Drosophila melanogaster: one gene and its partner. The protein of the gene in region 2 interacts with the protein of the main gene of each other region in a biochemical or structural test. Each region holds a gene or a part of one and is shown on either strand. Other genes may lie near its edges.

Evidence for each region.
Region 1: of the proteins of AGO2 (region 2) and r2d2, one has a biochemical effect on the other in vitro, tested with the Drosophila melanogaster proteins (one study listed by BioGRID).

What each region holds. Positions count from the first base shown.
Region 1 is NT_033779.5:7,797,729-7,802,981, reverse strand, and holds r2d2 (r2d2), read right to left. Parts: upstream 2,836-5,253; 5' UTR 2,730-2,835; exon of another isoform or gene 2,637-2,729; 5' UTR 2,480-2,636; coding exon 2,335-2,479; intron 2,262-2,334; coding exon 1,471-2,261; 3' UTR 884-1,470; downstream 1-883. Other genes in the region: Cdc14 (cell division cycle 14), read left to right, coding at 1-495; Herp (Homocysteine-induced endoplasmic reticulum protein), read left to right, coding at 3,470-3,673, 4,359-4,819, 5,250-5,253.
Region 2 is NT_037436.4:15,551,860-15,560,344, reverse strand, and holds the start of AGO2 (argonaute 2), read right to left. Parts: upstream 6,233-8,485; 5' UTR 6,139-6,232; coding exon of another isoform or gene 6,123-6,138; 5' UTR 6,081-6,122; coding exon 5,873-6,080; intron 3,523-5,872; exon of another isoform or gene 3,496-3,522; coding exon 2,228-3,495; intron 2,096-2,227; coding exon 2,007-2,095; intron 1,952-2,006; coding exon 1,342-1,951; intron 1,246-1,341; coding exon 229-1,245; intron 138-228; coding exon 1-137. UniProt on the Drosophila melanogaster protein: Essential for RNA interference (RNAi); double-stranded RNA induces potent and specific gene silencing.

The sequences.
Region 1 (5,253 bases), on a different chromosome or scaffold from region 2:
GTGGCTGGTTCCGCCAAGCGAAACAAGCGATCGCTGAGCTCCACACGCCTGGACAAGGACAAGAGCGACGAGTACAACACAAAGCTGTTGAGGAAGACGGCGGCGGCAGCTGCTGCAGCGGCCACAGCAGCATCAGCTGTAGCCAACAGCACATCGATCAACGCCACCCACGCCACAAACGCCTCCACCACCAGCAGCATGAACAACAATTGCAAGTACAACAGCTGCAGCAGCAGCAACAGCGGCAGCTTCAAGCTTTCCCGGCGCCTTTTCGGTGAGTCCGGCTCCTCAGCATCGACGTCCGCCTCAAATTCGGGTATTCCCACACCCACGGCGCCGCCCTCCTCCAGCCAGTGGCAACAGCACCTGGTACGCGGTGTGAGTCGTGCGTCCAGCGAAAAGGATCGGGATCGGGAGCGACAGCAACAACAACAACAACAGTCTCTGGACCATCAACAATCCAATCTCAAGCTGCGCAAGAAGATTAGCTATTGAACACTAATCATATATTGTTTCCTTTAGTTGTGTAAATATTATTTTGACTAGTAAATTGAACGTTTCCCGATGAGATGATGAGATTGATGTGGCGAATGCAATGATTTTTTAGATATTCCAATGCAATCAAATTTGGTGATTGATTAGGAAATTATTTGCAATAACAATCTCATTTATACACTTACATTTTTTTTTAGGAAAACATTTCAAATTGTTATGGATTTGTTATTTAACATATTGTACTAATATAAGATAACCCATTAAAAGGCAAGCAATTGACATTGAAATTGTTAATACATTGTTGAAAGTTTTTAAGAGGAACGCTTAGTTTTCATTTTAGCATTGTGTTGTAAAAATAAAATCAAAAATGCTGAAGACTACGAAGCACTTTATTTATTTTAGACTGAAACCCCTTTTATTCGTATAAAAGTTGTACTTGTAAAAAAAAAAAGAAATGCAGCATTTTTACCATTTTTTTCCGTCAAATTATTTAAAATATTTGTTTCAAGTAAGTCTTTGATTACTAGCATTCCTTTTAAAGGCAAATGTTCAGATTTTTAATTTCACTGTGCAATACATATTTATGTAAATTGCTTCAAATATTTTATAATCAGTTGTTGCAAACAATAAGTTCGGACCGTATAAATACTTTACATTTTAATAGAATTAACATTGGTATTGGCATCGAAAAGTAATTAATAATATCATTATGTTATACCTTCTCGAAAGTAAAAGTTGTTGTACCCACTCCCCTTACTTATTTCCTTGGATTTTTTACACCTATCTCAATCGTGTACAAAGTTAACATAGATGTTTACTAAAAGACCTTGAAAATAATTTTTTTATGTTTCCCACCTACAAATTGGTGGAGATTGTATTAATCGTAAGATTAAATGAAATATGTGCATTCTAGAGTGTAAATAAAACGAGTTTACTTAGTTTTAAGCTAGAATAGTTGAATAAATGTTATACGCATTAAATCAACATGGTGCGAAAATAGTCTATTATATGGTCGTAGATATCGGTCTCCTTTGCCATAAGGACCACGTCGAATGCACAATTAAGCTCGACGCTAAGCAAGGGAACCAACGATGAAGATTCCACTTCACTGATTTTGGGTGTTATCTTTAAAGAGCTCATTACGTCCATAGCCTTATCCTTGGAGCTCTCGTATTCATCTGAATTGATGGCCTCAATGGCCTCCTTTTTCAGGGTAGGATAGAAGTTCTTGAAGTAGTTGTGTCGGTCGCAGAGCCGCATGCCTGTATGGTCTACGCTCCCGGCTTCCTTCAACTCCCAGTAGGTGGTAAATTTCTTTCTGCGCAATGCCTCCAATTCCTCCATAGATTCTTCCATATCAACAACTTTCAATTTGCTTGTGCTCGCTACTTGCATTTGATCCGGACGCAAATTGTCCGAATTGCTGGAGATTAAGGCCAGCATTTCAATGGCCGCTCGCTGACGGGCATCCTTCTTTTTGTCCGACTTTCCGTAGCGTACTATGGAGGCCACGGAGCAACAGGCCACGAATTCCGGGGCGCTCGGGGTGCCGCTTTGCTGCACTACCTCAATGCAGGGCAGTGGCATCTCGCGGCGGACGCAGTAGTCACGCAGCTCCTTCACCATGTCCCGGTTGAGGTTAGTCAGTTCCTCATCCAGATCACCCACAGTCGAATCCTTCATCAAGCCGTGTATGCCGGGCAGCAGTTGGATTTTACGCAAGATATTGCTGGCAGCCAGGTGTTTGGCATCACGCTTCGAACGCCCTAGAATTGGATAAATATGTGGCGGTTTAGATACGAATATAAATAGTGGTTGAGATTTGTAATTTAAATTTACCATTTCCAAGGGCCTCTATCTCCAATAGTTCAACTTTACAGACGTACCCTCCGTCTTCGCCGGGAATAAAACTGTATGTTGGTAGATTAATCTGTGTCCGGGCACAAAACTCCTGTAGAGCAGATACGGCTGACTTGTTATCCATGAGTTCAAGGGGAAAAGGCACGTCGGACGTGCTAACATTCAACAGAATATAACCATATATATAATTTATAAAATATCTAAAGCACTGCAATGTTATTAGAGATGGCACGCGAATCACGAAGCGGCAACGATAGAATAGGAAATCTTGACGAAGACATCTGTAAATGAATTATTTTATGCCGCTTTGTCAAAAAAATATTTTCACGAAATAGTATTGAATTCGTAATTCGAATACGAAAACAGCGGCAAACCTTCTTAACTTTTTTACTAAGGAGCAAATGCATTTTATATGCTATTCGGTGTTTTCATTCAAAGTTCAACGTCTGAAGTGTTATACATAATCGACACGTCACGATGACGCGAGTTGGCATCCCCGTAAGTCAAGGCAACCCTGTTGCGTAGTATATGGCATTAACAAGTGTTGCTGTCAGTGATGAGCAAAATCCACAACTGCAAATAACTAGATACCGTATATTTTTCAAAGGAATAAATTCTAAAAACACTAAAACCAAGTGTTTGAGCAACGACTTTAATATTTTCCAACTGTGTACTTAAATTGCCACATCCCACACACTTTGGAAAATCAATTCTCAGCTGTTTGTGCAACCTGCGACTTAAAAATACCTGCTACTCGCGGCAGCCCTGTGACCGACGCTCATCACTTGCCACAGGTCAGAACCAAATGAAGAGTAGTTTTTGATCAACTGCGGAACGTTTACTGCGTTTCATAATCAATAACTCTGTGCTGCGAGCAAAACACCACAGAACGAACAGCTGTTGAAAACCAAACAATAGCATAATACCAAATTAAATGTCAAATTCAGAATAAACTATTTCTCGAAAATACGCAGAGAGCAGAGCGGAGTAGGAAGTGAGAAACAGTGGCTGCGTAAAAAGTGTCCCCGCTAGCGCAGCAAAAACCCATCACCGATCTTCGTATCGCGGTCATTAATTAGCAATAGAAAGTTCTCCGATTCGCGGGGTCAGCCAGATGGAGGAGAACGCCGCCCCACCCGCAGCCGCAACAGCCGCGGGCTGCGATGCCGCCACCCGTCAAAAGAATCCGGAAACCAGTGTCCGGCTGCTCATCAAGTCGTCCAACCAGCAGTATGAGGATCTCAATGTGGACTCCGATCTCTGCTGGACGGTCCAGAGGCTGAAGAAGCACCTATCTCTTATCTATCCTGGCAAACCGGTGGGTTATCGAGTTGGTTCCCCCCCTTGTTATCGTATAGGTAGAAAACTGGCCAGGAGCCCCATTATCTTATCGAGAAGTTTGTTATTGTTTATCATCTTCGTTTAGGATTCATAGGTGTGTCGGTTCCCAAAGCTATTTGCGTCTTAGTCGCAAGTACACGTCAGTGGATTGCTCCTCTAAATTATAGTCGCCGTCATGCACTTGCGTCATGCACTTGGTCTATGCCAAATCGATGGGTCGGAACTGGGAACTGGGATTAATTTGGTTACGGTTAGAAAGTGATAAGATTTTTGGACATATTCACGCTCCACTCATGTGCCAAGTTTTTTATGTACATATGTACATCCCACATATCAATATCACTGATATATACTAAAGATTCAGATCATTGCAGGCAGAAAAAATACATTAGCACTCTTTATTTCCAGAGCAAATCAAGTAGAATTTATAAAAATTTATTTAGTTTCAAGTATCATTTCCATAAAGTCAACTGACAAGTACAAGTTGTTATCTCTTGGAGTGTGCAAATAAATAGATTTAGGCACTGTTTGATAGTATAAATTTCGCGCGGAGGTAAAAGCAACAATGAGTTATCTCTAGGTTCCCTCTGAATACCTATAATGTGAAATTTTATGTTTTATGTTTTGACCACTATAACTATTTCTTTCCATTTTTTCTGTAGTTAATCCAGGACCAGAAACTTATTTACTCGGGCAAGCTATTAGATGACTCCCAAAAGATATCTGAGGTGATACGCAGCTACAAGGATGTCTACCAACAGCACCACATATTTCACTTGGTGTGTGCCAGCAAGCAAGTGATAAGGCCGGCTGCCAAAGCCCCCACTGTTCCGCAGAAGGATGCGGTTCCAGCTGGGCCCGAGGTCACTGGGAATGCAAATGAGCTGCGACAACGTCATGCTCCACATCAGCAGCAGGCACAGCAGGGCAACGCTGGACCACACGTGACGGGTGACATCGGTTTGGCCAATCCCTGGACACACTTCTGGCAGCAGAGCCAGGGAGCAGCACCTGCTGCCAATGCCAGTGCCAGTCCCCATGCTTTGTTCCAGCAGCAGGCGCTCATCTACAACGCCTGGATGCAGCAGGCTTACGCGCAGTACATGCAGCAGTTGACTCTACGGTAAGTGAACAGAACCAGAAGGCTAAAGGAACACACTTGATCCAACAATTAATTCACTGATATCAGAAGCGAGCGAATCAAATTACACAGAGCTCGATAGCGAATACATTTTATTTTTCTCAGAAGGAGAAACACTTGTATTTAGTCACTCTTAAGAGGTACTTTATTATTCAAGTGAGATCAAAATGCTGTTTTAGCATTTTTAAAGTTGTTTCTTGATTATTTATAATCTTTTTATTATTTTGGTTATCAGGCGTGCTAAAATTGTAGTATACTTGTATGGCCACGATTACAGTTAAATAATATAATTTTGGGGTCGCTCCCGAAGAATTTATTGTGCGCAATTAAGTTTTGCATGTAAACGAACAATTATTTTCTATAATATTGAATGCTATGATTCTTACACAACAATCTTATATTATACCCACAGTTCT
Region 2 (8,485 bases):
ACAATGGTGCGATCGACCACGGTTCCGGGGTCCACGTTGTTGAACTTGTTCGATGTCGTTACGTCGCCGCTGGGAAAGAAGCGAGTGTGATGACGCTTCACCACAATCACGCAGCAAATCTTGGGTTTACAGCCCACCTGTATATAATAATATAATAATTAACTCATAGCTAGTAACTGGTAATTTCATTTCATGTTAAATAAATAGTGAGGAAATTCAAAAACTTACCTTGTCACAGGCTTGTTTAATACACCTCAGTTCCTCGTTTTTGATTTTCGGAAACTGGCCGTCGCTCACGCCATCTCGGTAGTAGATGATATGATCAGGATAGGCGTTACGGTACTCTTTATACACGCGCAAGTGCTCCAAAGTAATCGAGAACATGTCCTCAATCTCCTCCAGAGCCCCTCGCTGCAAACGATATTGCATGTTATAACTGGCTCCGTAGGGATCGTGTGAGGCTGCTACTCCGACCACACTGGGAATCTCGCGCTGATCGGGAGAGGGATGGGTCACATCGGCTCCAATGTACATGGTGTTCTTCATCATCGGCAGACGAGGATCATCCTTGATCTTGTGGTTGATGCCGTTCAGCTTGGAGTTGATCTTAAGTAGAATATTTCCAATCGTCTGATTATTACACTTTCGTTCCACGGTGAACTGCTTAATGCATTGCGTCAAAATTCCATGCTGCAGCTCGGCCTTCTGCTTAATTGTATCGTAAGAAATTCTAAACTGAGGAATAATCACAATTGCCAGATCGTGCTGGCTGCGCTTCAGATCCGCGAAAATAGTGTCTAGGCTGCGTTCGTCATCCGTGAACGGTCTGTATGTCACATCAGAATCCAAGCTTATGTTGACTGCCTTGCCTTGGGATATTATTAGGTTCCCGAAGTCATTCAGCTGGGTATAGTTCATTTTGCGACCACTCCTCGGATCGCAATACAAGACCGCACACTTGTGCGCCTTGGGCTTGGGCTCCAGAAACTTCATGCCATCCATGCGCCACGACCCGTTCTTCACCATAGTAAACCTCTTACTATGATATTCAACCTGAGGTGGGCTTAGGACGCGGGTGCTTACCACAATAAAATCGTTGGCAATGCGGATGCCAAAGCGACTGATGGTCGGATCCAGGTTGTGCTGGAAGTATTGCAGCAAGTTCATAATCTTGCGCTTTCGCACGTTCGTCGATGTGGCTGCGTACTTTATCATATTGGCCACCTGAGTTGCTCCATCCTTGCGCTGTGAAATACATATGTTTATAGGTATATGTAATGACAATATAGCTTACGGTATTGAACACCAAGATATAGATATAAAGGAATTTAGTGAACTCACGTTTAGGGCCTGACCTTCCTCGATGCTGCATAGCTCGATGGGCAGCAGAATACTCTTGATTGAAGATCCAACGTTCAGACAATGGAGTTGGGGAAACTTCAATGGGTAGTTGCGACTGTGGAAGTAGGACGCAATGGTGACCTTCTTCCCATCGTGTTCGAAGGTCTCACTGCTGGCCGGGGCACGAGAAAGACCATTTACACGGTATACCCTTGGAGCGCTTTGAAACGACTGAGGAGGCGTGTAAACCACATTAATGCCTCTGAGGAATGGCTCAAGGAAGCGTCGCGAATAATCTAAATTCGTTGTATTGTTGATTTTAGCCTTTAAGCTAAATCGCTCCAAATATTCGATCATCGGCATTGAAATCGGAAAGGATTTGTGCGATATATCTACATTTAAAAATGGCCTATCGCCCAGCATAAATGCCTGATACAGACCGACCAGGGCCTCGTATCCATCATCCAGTTCGTGACGATTATTAGGATCGGACATCTTAAAGAAGGAACGACCGACACGGATGGCTTTGTTGTGGCAGGGTGAAGCCAAAACAACCTCCACGCACTGCATTGCTCGCATGGGCTTGTCGAAAATTCGGTCATTCATATAACTGCAGAGGAGCGCGTTCAATAGGAGTATCCATAAAAAACATAATTTATATTTACGTAGTTAACGATTTAAGGTCAATGGTCGAGTCACCAGTCTCCTTGATTTCGATCGTGTAGCGCAAAGTACGACCATTACGATCTGTCACCTAAAATAATAAGAAATAAAAACAACTAAAATATCGTATAGATTAAATTAAATTTAACTGCCACTGTATACATTTAAAAATGTTATTACTCCCAGTTGTTCATAACTTAGTAGACAATTTCTTGCAACTTACAGTCACTTCCGGATTTTGGCTATTTAACGGCAGCTTATCCACCGAGTAGCAAGAGGCTTTGCCATCATAGGCAAGAACTGCTCCGCCCAATTGGTCCACCCGAAATTGTTCAAATGCCTGTCTGTAAAACTTTTTGGGACGCTCTGGCATGATCTTCACGTCATAGTGGTATGCCACAGAAGGCATTTTGGACAGGTCAAGGTCCAGATAGTTGATGCCTACTTGCCCGGGTTTGCCGATTGTTCCGCGCTTAATGCTCCCGGCTGGCTGAGGCGGTAATGGTAATGGGGCAGCCTGCTGTTGCTGAGGTGGTCCACGAGATTGGTATTGGCCTTGGCTCTGGGTTTGGTTTGGTTGTTGTCCAGGCGGACGCTGTTGGTAGCCACCTTCTTGCCCTTGTCGTCCTTGCTGATGGCCACCTTGTTGTTGTCCAGACGGACGCTGTTGGTAGCCACCTTCTTGCCCTTGTCGTCCTTGCTGATGGCCACCTTGTTGTTGTCCAGACGGACGCTGTTGGTAGCCACCTTCTTGCCCTTGTCGTCCTTGCTGATGGCCACCTTGTTGTTGTCCAGACGGACGCTGTTGGTAGCCACCTTCTTGCCCTTGTCGTCCTTGCTCATGGCCACCTTGTTGTTGTCCAGGCGGACGCTGTTGGTAGCCACCTTCTTGCCCTTGTCGTCCTTGCTGATGGCCACCTTGTTGTTGTCCAGGCGGACGCTGTTGGTAGCCACCTTCTTGCCCTTGTCGTCCTTGCTGATGGCCACCTTGTTGTTGTCCAGACGGACGCTGTTGGTAGCCACCTTCTTGCCCTTGTCGTCCTTGCTGATGGCCACCTTGTTGTTGTCCAGGCGGACGCTGTTGGTAGCCACCTTCTTGCCCTTGTCGTCCTTGCTGATGGCCACCTTGTTGTTGTCCAGACGGACGCTGTTGGTAGCCACCTTCTTGCCCTTGTCGTCCTTGCTGATGGCCACCTTGTTGTTGTCCAGGCGGACGCTGTTGGTAGCCACCTTCTTGCCCTTGTCGTCCTTGCTGATGGCCACCTTGTTGTTGTCCAGGCGGACGCTGTTGGTAGCCACCGTCTTGCCCTTGTCGTCCTTGCTGATGGCCACCTTGTTGACCTTGTTTAGTCCACCCTTGTACCTGCTGTTTGCCTTGTTTTTTCTGTGCAGTCCATCCTTCTGCGTCTTGGGATTTTTGCTGTTGGCCTCCTTGCTGGAACCCAGATGCACGGGATCCGCCTGAGCTTGTGGATGGCTGTTGTCTCGAACCTAGATTTAGAAATCGACAAAGAATGTTTATTACAATAGGTGTTAGGTTTCGAAAAAACTGCAAGCAAACTCTTCGAAAAGTATTCACTTGGCTGATTTGAATTTGCTAACGCGAAAATAATTTGTATCACTTTAAAATACATACAGTTTGTCAAGAAACTGTTTACACACTGTGAAATAAGTTGAATTTTTGATTTTAAAGCTAAAAATAAAGGGTTTTTTGCTTAATTAAACGCAATTTTTTTATAAAATATAATTAAACAATATTAATTTTACTTATAAATCAAAAAACAAATTAAAAATATTAAATATACAAGAAAATAAACAACAAATTCCAAGTTTACACACTTTTGAGACTGTCAAGAAACTCTTTACACAAAACACTAAATCGAAGTTTAATCCTAAATTTTTTAATTATTTTATTAAAATTTTAAAAGTTTTGGTATGTAGTATGTTCCCCATTGGCTTTAGCTACAAGTTGAAGCCTTTTTTTCATGGATTGGACAAGTTTTTGCAGGTCATATTCAAACGGGATCTTTTCACACTCTTCGACTATTACAGTCATAAGCTGTTGTTGTGTTTTAGGTCCCTTTTTGCCACCTTCTTCTTTAAGTAGGTCCACAAATTTTCAATGGGGTTCAGATCAGGACTCTGAGGGGGCGTATCGATCACTTTACCACAGTTATTAAGGCGCCAGGTGCGTACATTGCACTCTTTATGTTTCTGATCATGTCCTGGTAAAACTTAAAATTTGGCTTGTTGTTGCTAACCAGACTAATTTTTTCTACACTGGCCTTCAAATTTGTTTTTTAACATTTCTAGATATTGCACGGCATTTATTGTGCTCTCAATTAAGGCTAGTTTTCCCACTCCACGGCTGGTGATACAGCCCCACATCATCAGTGACATTTTTCCAAATTTTATCGTTGGAATGATATTTTGTTTTTCTAGCGCACTCAACGGTTTGCGCCATACTCTGCTTGGCCCGTCGTTATAAAAGAGCATCATTTTTGTTTCGTCACAAAATATGACGTCATCCCAGTACTCTTCCGCATGATCCATCATGCTCACAGCGAATTAATGACGCTTTTCCATATTGGCATCTGATAGCAAAGGGTTTTTCCTTGCAAATCTTGAAGAGTACCTATGGCGTAGGATGACTTGGCGCACAGTTTCGTGTGACACAGTTAGGTGGCATTCTTGCCTGATATCCAGAGCAAGTGATCTGACCGAGATTCGGGGGTTCGCAATCACTATTCGCATAATAAAGCGGTCTACACGCTTTTTAATTTTAATTTTCCGTCCACCACCACTCTTAGGTTCAAGCCTGCCCTCTTTTTCCGAGCCTTTTAAAACATTGTAGACGGTCTTACGGGATACAGGAAACATTTATACTAATTCTGGAAAAGATTTTCCCAACTGGTGGTTATAGTTTATTAATTGGGTAACTTCAAAAGTTAATCTCTTTCCAGGCATTTTATTAAATTTAATAATTCGCTTTAAGCACGTTTGATCAGCAAAATTTCACAAGCAAAGTCAACAAATTTCAATAGAAGCGTTGTAAAAAGCAATGCGAAGCCAAAAATAACGGAAAAATCGAGTTCGTTCTAAGAAAAAGAACAAAACAAAGTAGGAAAACAAAATGTGTAAAGAGTTTCTTGACAGTCTCAAAAGTGTGTAAACCTGGAATTTGTTGTTTATTTTCTTGTATATTTAATATTTTTAATTTGTTTTTTATTTATAAGTAAAATAAATATTGTTTAATTATATTTTATAAAAAAATTGCGTTTAATTAAGCAAAAAACCCTTTATTTTTAGCTTTAAAGTCAAAAATTCAACTTATTTCACAGTGTGTAAACAGTTTCTTGACAAACTGTATGTACATAACCTTAAATGTAAAGATATATTGATGTCAAATGTTCAATTTCGCTTCATCTTTCAGATTTTTAATAAGTTTATAATTGAGTTAAAATGTCGGATCTGGTATAAATTAAGATTAAGATTTACAGATTTGAGCAGATTTTAATTCTTAATTGTTTGATGCTTCTGCCTAAAGCACAACTGTTACATTTCATAGCAAAATTCATTTTTTTAAATATAAAGGAATTTTAATTTAGTTATGTTAAGGGGAAATTCAATAACTGTTATATACAGTAGAATTCACCTTTAAGTATAATACACACATACATAGGTTCTATACAACCATGGCAGTTGAATTTCATCATGGCTGCCACGAATTCGGGAATTCCCAGGCATTTCGAAAGTTTATGGAGCATTTGATTGCAAATGGTAAATCCATATGTACAAAACATATGTATGTACATGCATGCATACATCTATTTTTTGCCTACGCCGATATATCGCACTTTGCACTTACTTTGTTGTTGTTGCTGATGCGGTTGTTGTTGTTGCTGCTGCTGTGGTTGTTGCAGCTGCTGTGGTTGTTGCAGCTGCTGTGGTTGTTGCAGCTGCTGTGGTTGTTGCTGCCGTTGTTGTTGTTGCTTTTGCTGCTGCTGGGGCTGTGGTGCTGCAGCGCTATCCTGTCCTCCTTTCTTGTTCTCTGGGGTGGTAATTGGAAAGTGCATATATTTGAATAGCTGTATGGTCCTGCAGGTGGGACAACTCACTATCTTTTTTTCCCATGATTTACTTTTGAGGGTTTCGAGTTAACTGACGACTTTTAATAGACGATTTTTTAATGCGTCACAGTCTTTTTTAGTGATGGGAGGCCTTAGGGGTGGGCGATAAGTTATTGAGCGGCACAGCTAAAGTGTTTTCTGTTATCGATTATTGATAGGAACATACGGACTAGGCGGGCCATTCAAGTGGGGACTCTATTTATATTTGTATATTTTTATACATGTTTTGTATACATGTTGCTTGTTGAGTCAAATGTATGCTATATTCGTTGAAAAGCATGTATCCGGCAAAAGAAACCGATTTCGACCTAATAAATTATATATATTATAATATATTATATATATTATATATATAAGGACCAATAGCCGAGTCGATCTAGCCATGTCCGTCTTTCCGTCCATCTGTCAGTCCGTACGAACGTCGAGATCTCAGGATGAATAAGAAGCTAGAAAATTGAGATTACGGAAAGCCCCCAAAACTTCCCACGCACATTTTCAAAATGTTTTGACATTTTTCATATTTTTATTAGTCTTGTAAATTTCCATCGATCTGCCAAAAAACTTTAAATTGCCACGCCCACAGTTATGCAAAATGTGATATTTTTCATATTTTGATTAGTCTTGTAAATTTCTATTGATCTGCCAAACTACTATTACTCCCACAAACCGCCGAAAAGCCACGCTTACAATTTTTAACAATTTTAATTTTTTTTCTTATTTTATTCACCAATATCTAATTTGCGTTCGCATTTCCAATAGTTGAGTAACTGGCATCTGATTATCGGGGAAGTTTAAAATAGGAAAAAAATTTTAATTTACTAGTTTTTTTTTTTAAATTTTATTTTGGAAGAAGACATCAGTAAGAATCAATAAATTTAATCACCACTGCTAGAAAGCATTATTTTTATTTTTCCGCCTTTAAGTGAAAAATAGTTTTACATTCCAGAAAAAGTATTGTTTTTCCATAGATAATAAATAAATAAAAGACCCAGATTCCTGCTGTTTGTATGGTTGTTTGAATTTTATTTGGAATTGCACTTTTACTTTTGCCAAATTACAGCAACCAATCATAAAAGTTTTACAATTTTTTTTGATGTATTTTCTTGTTTTGTTTGTTTTTTCCATTTTCAACGTTAAACATACAATATATGCGTTTAAAATGCTATAGCCAAAAAATAGTAAATAGTCGTACATTATTCATACTTGTATATATAAATATATCATAATGTATATTTCATGTTGTCTTTAATTTGTTTGTTTAACGCTTTATTAATAAAATTTTGTTTGTCATTGCACGAGCGTTTTGTTTTTCAACATCGATTTCTGATTTTCGTATTTTTACTAAATATCTTTCTTTTAAAAATTTTCTAACAATTGCACAACTTCGCCCGCTTGATTTATACACACATGCACAGACATACGTAGAAATAGCTAAATTATATTTTATAGATACATATTATCGAGTTGATAGGAAATCAACGGGTTACGCTTGAAATTTCCGTTAAGTAATTTTGTGTTTATAAATTCAACTAATAAAAACTAGAATGACTCATTTAGAACGCTGCGAAAAGAATACAAAAATATCTGTATAAATATGTATGTATGCCAAAAAATTGCACTAAAACGTAAAACACAAATTGTAAACATAAAAAACAAAATAATTGCTGCGAAATTTGATTAAATTGGGTTATACTCTCAAAATATCCCTTCGGTCAGTGCAGCGCCGTCTTATAAAATAAAACTTAACAAACAATAATTCATTTTCATAATTGGCTCGGAAATTGTTTTAAATTGGCCAGGCAACGCGGCAGGTGGAGAACGCAACCGAATTGGGGATACGGATACAGATACGGATATGGATACGGATGCAGATACGGATACGGATACCCATTATAAATTCGTATGCTTTCCATCTATTGAAACTCCAACTTGACGCCCGCTGGCGAACAGATGATGAAGAGAAACTTAAATGCTGCACATAGACATAGTTCGTTACATAATCCACCTATATAGCTACATTATGGAATTGTTTAGGTATTTTATCTCGTCGTCAGCTTTCGTTATTCGTTTTGAGAAATATCGTTTAAAGGAACAATAGTCATGCCAAAGACAGCACAGAGATTGAGCTCCGGGAGTCTTTCGTTAATTCATTCATTCAATCATTATTAAAACATAATGTACATGTCGCCTCCAACTGTCGGCTCAACTCCAATCTGGATTTCATATACAATCAGAGCCTATTTGCGATCGGCTTTCTTTCTATCATTCTATCGTTCTTTCATTATTATTATTATTTTTTTTTTTTGTTGTTGTCGTTAACTTTTTCATTACTTTGCTGTTTTTTTACGTTT